Oryzias latipes: one gene and its partners. The protein of the gene in region 3 interacts with the protein of the main gene of each other region in a biochemical or structural test. Links are inferred from orthologs where the notes say so. Each region holds a gene or a part of one and is shown on either strand. Other genes may lie near its edges.

The links.
Region 1: of the proteins of supt5h (region 3) and cdk7, one has a biochemical effect on the other in vitro, tested with the Homo sapiens proteins (2 studies listed by BioGRID, with this or other methods). The link is inferred for Oryzias latipes from reciprocal best matches to the Homo sapiens genes SUPT5H and CDK7.
Region 2: of the proteins of supt5h (region 3) and cdk9, one has a biochemical effect on the other in vitro, tested with the Homo sapiens proteins (4 studies listed by BioGRID, with this or other methods). The link is inferred for Oryzias latipes from reciprocal best matches to the Homo sapiens genes SUPT5H and CDK9.

What each region holds. Positions count from the first base shown.
Region 1 is NC_019867.2:13,791,417-13,794,691, reverse strand, and holds the end of cdk7 (cyclin-dependent kinase 7), read right to left. Parts: intron 2,608-3,275; coding exon 2,508-2,607; intron 2,439-2,507; coding exon 2,352-2,438; intron 2,254-2,351; coding exon 2,104-2,253; intron 1,703-2,103; coding exon 1,564-1,702; intron 935-1,563; coding exon 906-934; 3' UTR 550-905; downstream 1-549. UniProt on the Homo sapiens protein: Serine/threonine kinase involved in cell cycle control and in RNA polymerase II-mediated RNA transcription. Cyclin-dependent kinases (CDKs) are activated by the binding to a cyclin and mediate the progression through the cell cycle.
Region 2 is NC_019870.2:30,294,917-30,297,651, reverse strand, and holds the end of cdk9 (cyclin-dependent kinase 9), read left to right. Parts: coding exon 1-59; intron 60-1,397; coding exon 1,398-1,546; intron 1,547-1,614; coding exon 1,615-1,980; 3' UTR 1,981-2,186; downstream 2,187-2,735. UniProt on the Homo sapiens protein: Protein kinase involved in the regulation of transcription.
Region 3 is NC_019871.2:945,254-949,486, forward strand, and holds the start of supt5h (transcription elongation factor SPT5), read left to right. Parts: upstream 1-1,378; 5' UTR 1,379-1,515; intron 1,516-1,715; 5' UTR 1,716-1,729; coding exon 1,730-1,816; intron 1,817-3,564; coding exon 3,565-3,724; intron 3,725-3,793; coding exon 3,794-3,859; intron 3,860-4,233. UniProt on the Homo sapiens protein: Component of the DRB sensitivity-inducing factor complex (DSIF complex), which regulates mRNA processing and transcription elongation by RNA polymerase II.

The DNA of each region.
Region 1 (3,275 bases), on a different chromosome or scaffold from region 3:
GTGGATATATTGGTAGAAGGATGTTGGAGATGGAGCTGCCTGGCAGGAGGGCAAGAGGACGGCCAAAGAGGAGATACATGGATGTCTTAACAGAGGACATGAAGTTGGCTAACGTTAGGGTAGAAGATGTTCATGATAGAGTGAGGTGGAAAAGGATGATTCGCTGTGGCGACCCCTGATGGGAAAAGCCGAAAGAGAAAGAAGGACAACAAATGACCAATTAGATAACCATAGCAAAAATAAGATGCTAAAAAGTCAACTAAACTCTTTATATCACTTCAAATAACTAAGTCTCTTGAATTTCTGTGTCGCTTCTGAACAACTTCATCGAGCCCGGCGTAAGACTTCTTCAGTATTAAATACTGATCCACACACATATATAGTGCCCTCTAGTGGTTGTTGCTATTTTTTTTAATTGAATCACACATAAGTCGCACCAGAGTATAAGTCGCACCAGCACGCCAAACTATGCTAAACTCTGAAAATACAGTATTTTGTATTTAATCATTTTATGTGAAGGAACTGGGGGGGAAAAAAAGACAAAGTATATTTTATCTGCTTATTTACTATTTATTGGTTTAACATAGAAAAAATAAAAATAACATCCATGTGCAGGGAGTGAGTCTGGTAGCCTACTTGTTTTAAACTCAAGTAACATTAATAAAAATATTTTATCACAGTCCCAAAGTTTAGGCATCATGAAGAACCAGAACCAACGGTTCTGACTACAGTCTCTGTTGCACCTTAGTACTGCTGGATGCTGCAGCACCTTGAGGTGTTATGCCACAGAGACAGCATCATCTGCTTTTAAGCTGCTTTCTGTTCCATCCAGGAAACAGTCCTGAGTAAAGCAAGAAGCCACATCTCGTTGTAGACATTCCCTCCCGTCTGTGAATCACTTCTGGTCAGAAAACGAGCTTCTTCTTCATTACGGCTGAAAATAAAAAAACAAACAACATGTTAAATTAATTAAAGTAAAGCATTTATAGATACAACCACTTGACATCAAGTCCGTTTTCTTTTCTATGCATTCACATGCTAAAAGTCCAGAGTTTTTATCTACAGTGTTCTTTCTGAAAGTCTCTTTGAGACAGGATAGAGCAGACCAGAGAATATGTAGTCATTATCCAAACCACAGGAGGAGCACAAAACAGGCTTTGAACCTCCCAGTTTCACCAAGAAACCAGCCCTCCCCACCACTCACTGAACTGCAGTGTTTGCTCTACCATATTCTGAACTTCTAACTTTAACTCAGCCAACACCCACTAAATGGCTGGGTTTGGTTTAGAGGTATGCTGCCTTTTAAAGGTTACCATGTGGACTGTGAGAAGCCAAACTATTTACTATTCTTTCTGAAGTTTGGGCTTTCACGGGACATTTAGGAACTCTTTTAGACCCAAACGTGCTGCTCACACCAACAGAATAAATAAATATCAAAGATATGTACAGGTGATCTTTGTTTATTACACAAATATCGGTAAATCTGGCTCAGGGTGGTCTTTAGAGGATTAAGGATGAACTTAAGACTATAAATATAAAAAGAAGTCATAAATCGATCTTTACTTGTTTCAAGGCCTTCAATTTTCCTCTTTAGCCCAACAGTTTCCTTTTCCCTCAAAGCCTCAGCCGAGCAGTTTGGTCTGGGGAGCTGTGGACCCGGTGTGGGTCCAGGCCGATTACTGAAGTACTTCATCTTTAGAGCCTGGGCAAAACAAAACAAACAACAATGGATGTACACTATATCTGCAGGTATCACTGCTGTGCCTCTCATACTTGTTTCCATATATATTATGTGTGGTTTTACAAAATAAATCCTCTCATGAAAAATCCAAAAGTGTTTTTCTGTGTCTTCATCTTTTTTGATTCTTAAAAGAAATATAAAAAGAAAACCTAATTTGACATTTACAGAATACGTTTTATTGTGAAGCCATATAATTCAGCGTAAAATAAACCTGCTACCTTTAATGAAGCATGTTCTAAAGATCTTTTATTTCTGGTTTTTAGATTTAAACAAACTTTTTTAAACAACATGATCTTAATAAAACTGGCACAATTTTTTTTTTTAAATGAAGAGGAGCAGCTGCACTGTAACATGGCATTTACCTGTGTGGCTGTGGTCCTGGTTGTGGGGTTGAAGGTAAAGAGGCCCTGTAGTAGCTCAAGTAAATCATCCCCAGCTGCACTAAATATATGTTCCAGCGGTGTGCCAGGAAATATCTTGAAGGACACAAAGTCTGGCAGACTACTCATTCCCTGCAGAGACGGTTGACAAACAGATGTTCGCAAGGAGTTTTACCTCTCTTAGGACAGTCTCATCTGATATATAAAGGAAAAAAAAAACTGAAACCAACAGGCCATGTTTCATCTGTGGCGGTTCCAAGAGCCTCGAAGATTTTGGTCAGCTGATCGAGATCAGAGTCTCCAGCAAGGAATGGTATCTGCAGAGGGGGAGACAATCATTTAATAGATCAGCGCAATGGATGGATATTTATGTGAAGTTTATGTACCCGAAGAAGCAACTCTGCCAGGATGCATCCCACCGCCCACATGTCAACGCCAACCCCATACATCCTGGCACCAAACAGGAGCTCAGGGGAGCGGTACCACCTAAGGAAGCAGTTGGGGAAAACGGAGCAAACAGTCACGTTAAGAGGAACAAAACTCTCAGATGTTTCCTCCCATTGGAGCCAAGTCTAACCGAGCAGCACTCATTTATGGCTTCTTTCCACTAGTTCATAGCTCATGGACAGCTTTCTGTTACCTCACTGGCCCACTTGTGTAACAGCTTGCAAATGAAATATTAATCAATCAAACTTTATTTATGTAGCACTTTTCATGTAAAAGTATAACACAAATCCTCCACTAATGTGTTTAACTCTGAGCAAAAATGTACAGCTGCAGCACCCCATAGATTCAAACACACAACAGCAATGGGTTCACTTAACTTTAGTTAAGTGATCAAAGGAGACAAATAATTTGATCTTTTATTTAGTAATCTAGCATTTATACTTTCATTTAACATGGAAAATCATTTCTGAAAAGAATCTGCAGTATCTGAGCAAACTCAAAGACAGAAAATGTTACGTTTCAGCTGAACTTCGACTGTGAAAGCCAGTCACAATTCAATCCCCAGAATTTAAAATATTAACATTATATTAGTCTACTCATCTGAAATATAATTTCTATCTAAATGGAAGAAAATCTTGTAATTGGTTGTAGTTTCATTTGGTGGAACTTCAGGTATAAGTTAAACTGGATGGGTTTTCTTTAGGTCA
Region 2 (2,735 bases), on a different chromosome or scaffold from region 3:
GAACCGCTACACCAACCGCGTGGTCACGCTGTGGTACAGACCTCCAGAGCTGCTGTTAGGTAAACGCCGCAAACCGCTGAGGAACGCTGGAAACGTGGAATTTAAACATTAGAATGTCGTCTTTCAGGGCTTTGTGCAAAAACGGAACATTCCTGCTGTTGTCTTGGTGATTTCACATTTATGTTGTTGGAAAGTAAATCTGCAGCAGATCAGCAAAAAAAGAAAGATGGGACCAAACGACAAGAAAAAAGCCTTCATAGTATATATTTAAGTACTTGTACACACATCACATCCAAGCATTTGTTCATCGAGGTCTATTTATTAAACATTACCGACCTTTGAACTCACGATATTCCCATTGTAAAAAACCACCCAGATCCAGGAAGTCTTCTGGTTCATCTGGGAAACGACAAAAGAATATTTAAAAACGGAGCAACGATGTCCGGCTTTACCACCTTCCCTGCTGCTACCAGCCCGTCGCACTGGGACAGACAGCAGCGTCTTTGTCCCGCCACGGCGCCAGGACAACAAGCCTTCAAACTGGGTCACGGCGGTACCGCTGAACGCCACTGTACACGCGTGTGCCGGACCATGGCAGGGATCCGTGTGGATCGGGGATCAGAAATAAAAGCCGTGTTTGGACACGGCTCAGTGTTTCAGGATGTCTGGTAGAAATCCAGCGTTGCAGTCTAGAAAACAGATCCGGGTCAACGACACCAAGAGGTCCGGTTATTCATCCGGTTATCCGTGACACATGTTGGAGCCTAAAGCTTCCTGTGCGTTTATGGACCGGTAACCATCTTGTGCTGTATCACTGTGAAGCAGTACTATGGAGAGTGTTTAGTAGTAATATTATGCGTGGTGACGACGCGACTCCAGTCGTTCATTTGTGAAATGATTTTTTTTAAAAAGTGACGTGACTGGATTCAGGGTTTGGGGCCAGAATGGAGGATTGACTGAGCTGGGAGTGAAGAAACAAGAGAACCAAAAGGTTTTAACGGACACTTTCTGCTTCAGTACTTCAGACGTAGATCGGTTTCTACATTTGAACTTGTTACAAGAAGAACCAGACCTAATAGAAATGTCGTCTTCCAGACATGAGGAGTGTCTGTCACTGATCATGTAAATATATGTGCACAGCTGTAAAATTAAAAAATGCGGACTGTAAATACTTTTCACAGCTCTGGTTTGGGGCTCCTATGCGACCCAGATGCTGCATGGCCCCTTTTTGCGGCCCCGACTCCTGCAGAAACGGTTCCGGAAAACGACGCGGGTTTCAGGTTACATGGCTGAAAACGTCGTGGTCGTCAGGGAAACGGGTCTTTAGAGGCTGACGAGTCGAGAAGCAGACGGCTTCAACAGGAAACCAATCGCGTTCCTGTTCTCCTTCCCTGCAGGGGAGCGCGACTACGGCCCCCCCATCGATCTGTGGGGGGCGGGCTGCATCATGGCGGAGATGTGGACCAGAAGTCCCATCATGCAAGGCAACACGGAGCAGCACCAGCTCACCCTGATCAGCCAGCTGTGTGGCTCCATCACTGCAGAGGCGAGTGGTCTTTGGGGGCGGGGCTCTGCGTTGCAGCAGCTCGCTGTCAATCATTTCTGTTTCTCCAGGTGTGGCCCGGCGTGGACAAAAAGTATGAACTGTACCAGAAAATGGAGCTTCCCAAAGGCCAGAAGAGGAAGGTCAAGGACCGCCTCAAAGCCTACGTGAAGGACGCCTACGCCCTGGATCTCATCGACAAGCTGCTGGTTCTGGACCCGGCTCAGCGCATAGACAGCGACGACGCCCTGAACCACGACTTCTTCTGGTCCGACCCCATGCCCTCAGACCTCAAGAACATGCTGTCCACTCACAACACGTCCATGTTTGAGTACCTGGCCCCGCCCAGACGGAGGGGGCACATCCCCCAACAGCAGCCCAACCAGAACCGAAACCCGGCCACGACCAGTCAGACGGAGTTCGACCGAGTCTTTTAGCCCCACTGGACGTCTTGGACCGAGTTTGACCGGAGACTCTGCTGTGAGGCCAGTTATGATCAAACGTTCAGGTTTTATGGGATCAGGAATGAAACGGACAGAAATGCTCCTTTATCCAGAATCTGGTAGCTTTTTCAGTTGAACTGATTGTTTTCATTCAAATGTTCTTTGTAATAAAGCAACACAATCGTGAACATTTATGGAAACGTCTGAATGCAAAGCAGGAAAGTGGTTTTTACTTGTGTGAGTCGGTTAGAGAGGAAGTGACGATGAGAGCCGCAGACACTAAACCCTCTGAGCTTTTGACTTAAACGCCGTCATTGTTCCTTTGGGATGTTTAGGAGGGGGAGGAGCTACCTGGATTCATGGTTTGTGGCATGTTCTACAATTGAGCCAGAAGGAAAACTAACGTGTTTGTTTACATGTGGAAGCACGTAAACATGGAAACCCCTGAAGGTAATTGGGTCCAACGACCCGGAAAACGGTTGACTGAGCCAGACCGCAGTACAGGACCGTTGTAGGTCTGTGTATTCCCGGCTGGATTCTGATGAGACCGTTTAGCGTGACGGCATCAGAACGCGACGTCTTTATTCCATCATGGATGGACGTGTGCACGGAAGAGCAAAGCCACAAACCTGAGAGGACGGACAGAGCAGAGGCTGTTCAGTCTAAGGGCTGCTCAGCAGACCCACCGGCTGCAGGAAAAGGCTTCCTGAGTGAGGTCGGTCAGAGATCTGCTGCGGCGGCGTTGGATT
Region 3 (4,233 bases):
TTTCTTGCAGGTATCCAATGGATTCAGACTTAGGGAAAAAGTGGGCCTTATCTATCAAAAGAGTTAACCCAGATGGATCACTGTGGAACCAACTAGCAATACAGTCTGGCTGTTCAAAACATTTGTGGAAACAGATTTTGATGAGAGGCCAGACTGTTTTTTTTTAGGGTAAATCTATTGTTTACTTTTGGACTTCTTTTGAATATTAATATTAATAATAATAAATAATAATAATAATTGTTATTATTATTATTATTATTACCATTATTATTATTATTATATAATTTTTATTATTATTTATTGACTTATTATTTATTTATTGTTATTTATTGTTTGTATTGACTTACTATTGATTTATTATTAGTATTATTAGTATTATTATTATTATTATTGACGTAGTGTTGGGTTTTTCTAAATAATTTAAATTACATGTCAAAGAGGTCTAAAACTTCTAAATTTTTAGAAATTAATTTTAAAAATTCTTTCTAATAATTCTAATAATAATTTCTAATAAGAATTCCTGCAACAATGCATTTTCATTCAAGTTTGAGCTTTTAAGGCTGACTGTTTCTCTTCTTTAACAACAACAAATGATGTATCTATATATATATATTATATACATAAAATATAATGTATTTATATAAATGTATAAATATATTTAAATATAAAAATATATACAGTTTATAAAAGCTACTTAGACACCACTAAAATCACTAGAAATCAATGTTATGTGGGCGTCGTCGACCTCACCAAGATGGCGTCGCGCTCCGCCACCGTCGGCCAGGCTTCTAAAGCGGGCGTGTCTCCTCTAGTGATATAGCTCATTGCTCCAGACTCTTGGTTTCTGGACGTGACAAAGATGTGTTGAAAGACAGATGTGTCACTATGACCTGAACTATTGGCTACAGTTTTTTACAGTACATTATAAATTATTATTATTATTATTATTTTTTTACAATTTTTTACGACCTTAAAAAACTGTTATTTCAATAAAGTATGTTTTAATATTTGTTTTATGCATTTTTCTTTATTTATTTTCAAAATGTGTTTTTTTTACCAATATTATTTAAAACACACAATACTTTGATATCAGACGATTTCACATTCCTGTGTTAAGTTCAGCTTTACTTTGATGTTCCAATTTGCTGACACAAATTGTCGTTATGGATTTTAATTTATCCAACGGTTTGTATGACATACAATTTATTTATAGTGCACATTACGCACTTATTTATAGGGAAACGTAGACGGCGTTGAATTGAGAAAAAAACACAAGTAAACCAATTAGGATTATTAGTATATTTTAGATATAGTTTAAACTTTTTTAAAAAGACAAACTGAGTGACCGTTCCTTGACAATAAACTATCGTTTGCTTCAAATCTCGCGTGAAGTAAAGCAGTTTTGTGAAGTCTCGCGGTTCTGTGATAATACGTCGGGCATCTTAGTGACCAAAATAAGACTGATAACTTTGCGTAAGCGTCCAATAACTTGACATTCTGTTGTCCTTTAAACAGGTAAATAGCGTCCAGTTGACTTGTTTCATCTATTTAAGTGTTATGTTTGCGATTTCTGCAAGTTTTGACTTGTGGGAAGTCTGTTAGCATGCCTTGCTAGGCTGGATGCTAGTAGCTTATTTCTGTGTTCGGGAAGAATTTTAGTGAAAACGTCGATTTCTTTCGGGTAGTTGCGTTAATTTCTGCATTAACATGTTTAGTTCACAGCCGCAGCATGTCTGACAGCGAGGACAGTGATTTCTCCGACAACCAGAGCGAGCGCAGCAGTGACGGAGAGGCCGAGGAGGCGGAGGAGAATGAGGTAAGCTAACGGCTCGCGGGGCTAACCGGCCGGGTAAACAGGGATGGAGAGCCCGGTCAGACTGCGGCTGCGCGGGCGATGGCGCCCGTCTCTTCTCCAAAACATTTATTAAAGTCCACAAAAAGCAAATGCTTACAATCCTTCGACAGAGCTCCTCAAACAAATGAAATGCACACGAACCACTGATCAACAAATATATATATATATATATATATATATATATATATATATATGCTATATTATATCATGTCTTTTTAGGATGTGGAGTTGAAAGATTTGCTTCAGAACCAGTTTTGTAAGTCTTTTCTAGACGGTTTTATAATGAATACAATAACAGATTAAGTGATCTGTGGGTTCAATATGTCGCCATGGCAGAAAGAACATTTGTTGTCGTCCAGACTGAGTTGAACATTTTCACGCTGAATTGCTGCACTCTGACCAATCGGGGAGTTTGATTCAGAAGTGGCGTGTAGCGGTTTAGCCGTCAGGGCCTGGAGGTTCATCTGTTTTTAAGCACGTTGTAGCATTGTCCGGTTCTTGATCCAGTATGTCTTCATCTCAATGTTCCTTATCACCTTCTGTTACCTGTGGAAGAAAGTCTTTAGTTTGGTGAAGCAGTGTACGATAAACCGACACTTGATCCAAGTATGAAACAATCGTCGATGCAGCTTCCAGTCATTATCTGTTTGGAGGACATGAGGATTTAGCTGCAGGTCTTATTGTGACGGATGATTGAGTAGCGATTGAAGTTCACCTTAATGCTGTCCTGTCGGCTCTCACATCTGCTGCCGTGGCTTCACCCTTCGTCTCAGCATAAAGGTTGACCGTGTTGGTTGAGAAGCTACAGGAAGGCATGTTGTGTCTCAGCTCTAAGATGTGAAGCAACATTTGGAAACCCTCATTCTCCACCAGAATACGGTCTTAGGTCCTTTGTTTTAAAAGCTCTGACTTTGTTATTGGCTGAGCCTTTTCCGATGACGGCCGACATTTTTTTGGGATGTTTTATTGACTGTTGGAAGTGCTTGCAGCAGAACTCATGCCGGTACCACCAGAACGGTTCCTGCCCTCCTCCGGATGGAACCGCACCATGTGATTTTGAACGTTTACAAATGTACACACCGCATGACTTTAATCCAAAGCCAATAAGCTTCAGCACTGATATCTGGCCAATCGTGTCGCACGGTCTGCCGTGTTTACGCCATCTCAAAAACGTCTGATTTAAAACTCCCCACGTTTAAATTAAAATGTTTGATTATCGATTAAACTTCATAAAACTATTCTGAATTGTTTATGTATTGTAATCAAATAGGCGTCTAATAACCGATTAGTGGCTGTCCTTCTGTCACGCATCGATGAGATTTTCCTCTTCCGTAGTGATGATTATACGCTGTTGCATTCAGGCAACGTTCTTTCATTTGCTGTAATTCAGTCGGGGGAGGCAAACATGAATTCTAGTGATAATGCAGTTCTCTGCTGTTTAAACAGACGTAAGGGAGGCAGAACTCTCCAGAAATGTTGCCAGGAGCTAATCTTTTTAATATATTTCTATTTTATCTATTTACAATCTTGGAGAAAAGATTTCTTTTTCAAACAGCTTGTAGGAACTGAAACCTTTTTGCATTTGAGTTCTTTAGTTTTTGTAGCATTCTTCTTTTGTTTTTTCATGAATCATGATCAAGTTTTCATTTAGCTTTTGAACATTTTAGTCCTTTTTTTTGTAAACATTTGCTGCTGTGCATCGTCATCAGGAGGAGACGGGCAGCCCTGTGGGCAGCGACAAAGTAGCAGAGGAGGAAGGGGAGGACCTGGATGATGAGGATGATTATGATGAAGAGGAGGAAGAGGACGAGGATGATGAGCGCCCCAGGAAGAAGCCAAAGCACGGAGGGTTCATCCTGGATGAAGCTGGTGAGGCGGAGCTTCATGGAGCGCTTGCTGCTGTTCAGGGCGGAGCTTAACTTCTGCGTGTCTGTGCAGATGTGGACGATGAGGATGATGAAGACGATCATTGGGCGGATGAAGGTGAAGACATTCTGGAGAAAGGTGAGACCTGTTGCTCTGGAAATGAGGTTGAAGCGATTTCTAGAGGGACCGTCGCTGATCTTCCTCCCCTCTGAACTGATGATGCGCTGAAAGATGTTTCATCACAGGTTTGGTTTTACTGATCTAAATGGAACAAAAAGTCAAAGACTGACACAGTGAAAGACAGAGATGTGTTTGTAAAAAGCCGTGAGGAACGACGACACTTTGGCTCCTAAAGACAGAATCGGGGCGCTTGGTTCGTCTGTTTCTGCTGGTAAACGTCTGGACGCTGGAAAAAGAGTTTTTCAGACTTTAGGCGAAATCACAGAAAGTTTCAGTGGAATCTGCGTTCATGTGGTGTAAAGAGGCTCCATGCTGCTCCACACTGTAGAAAA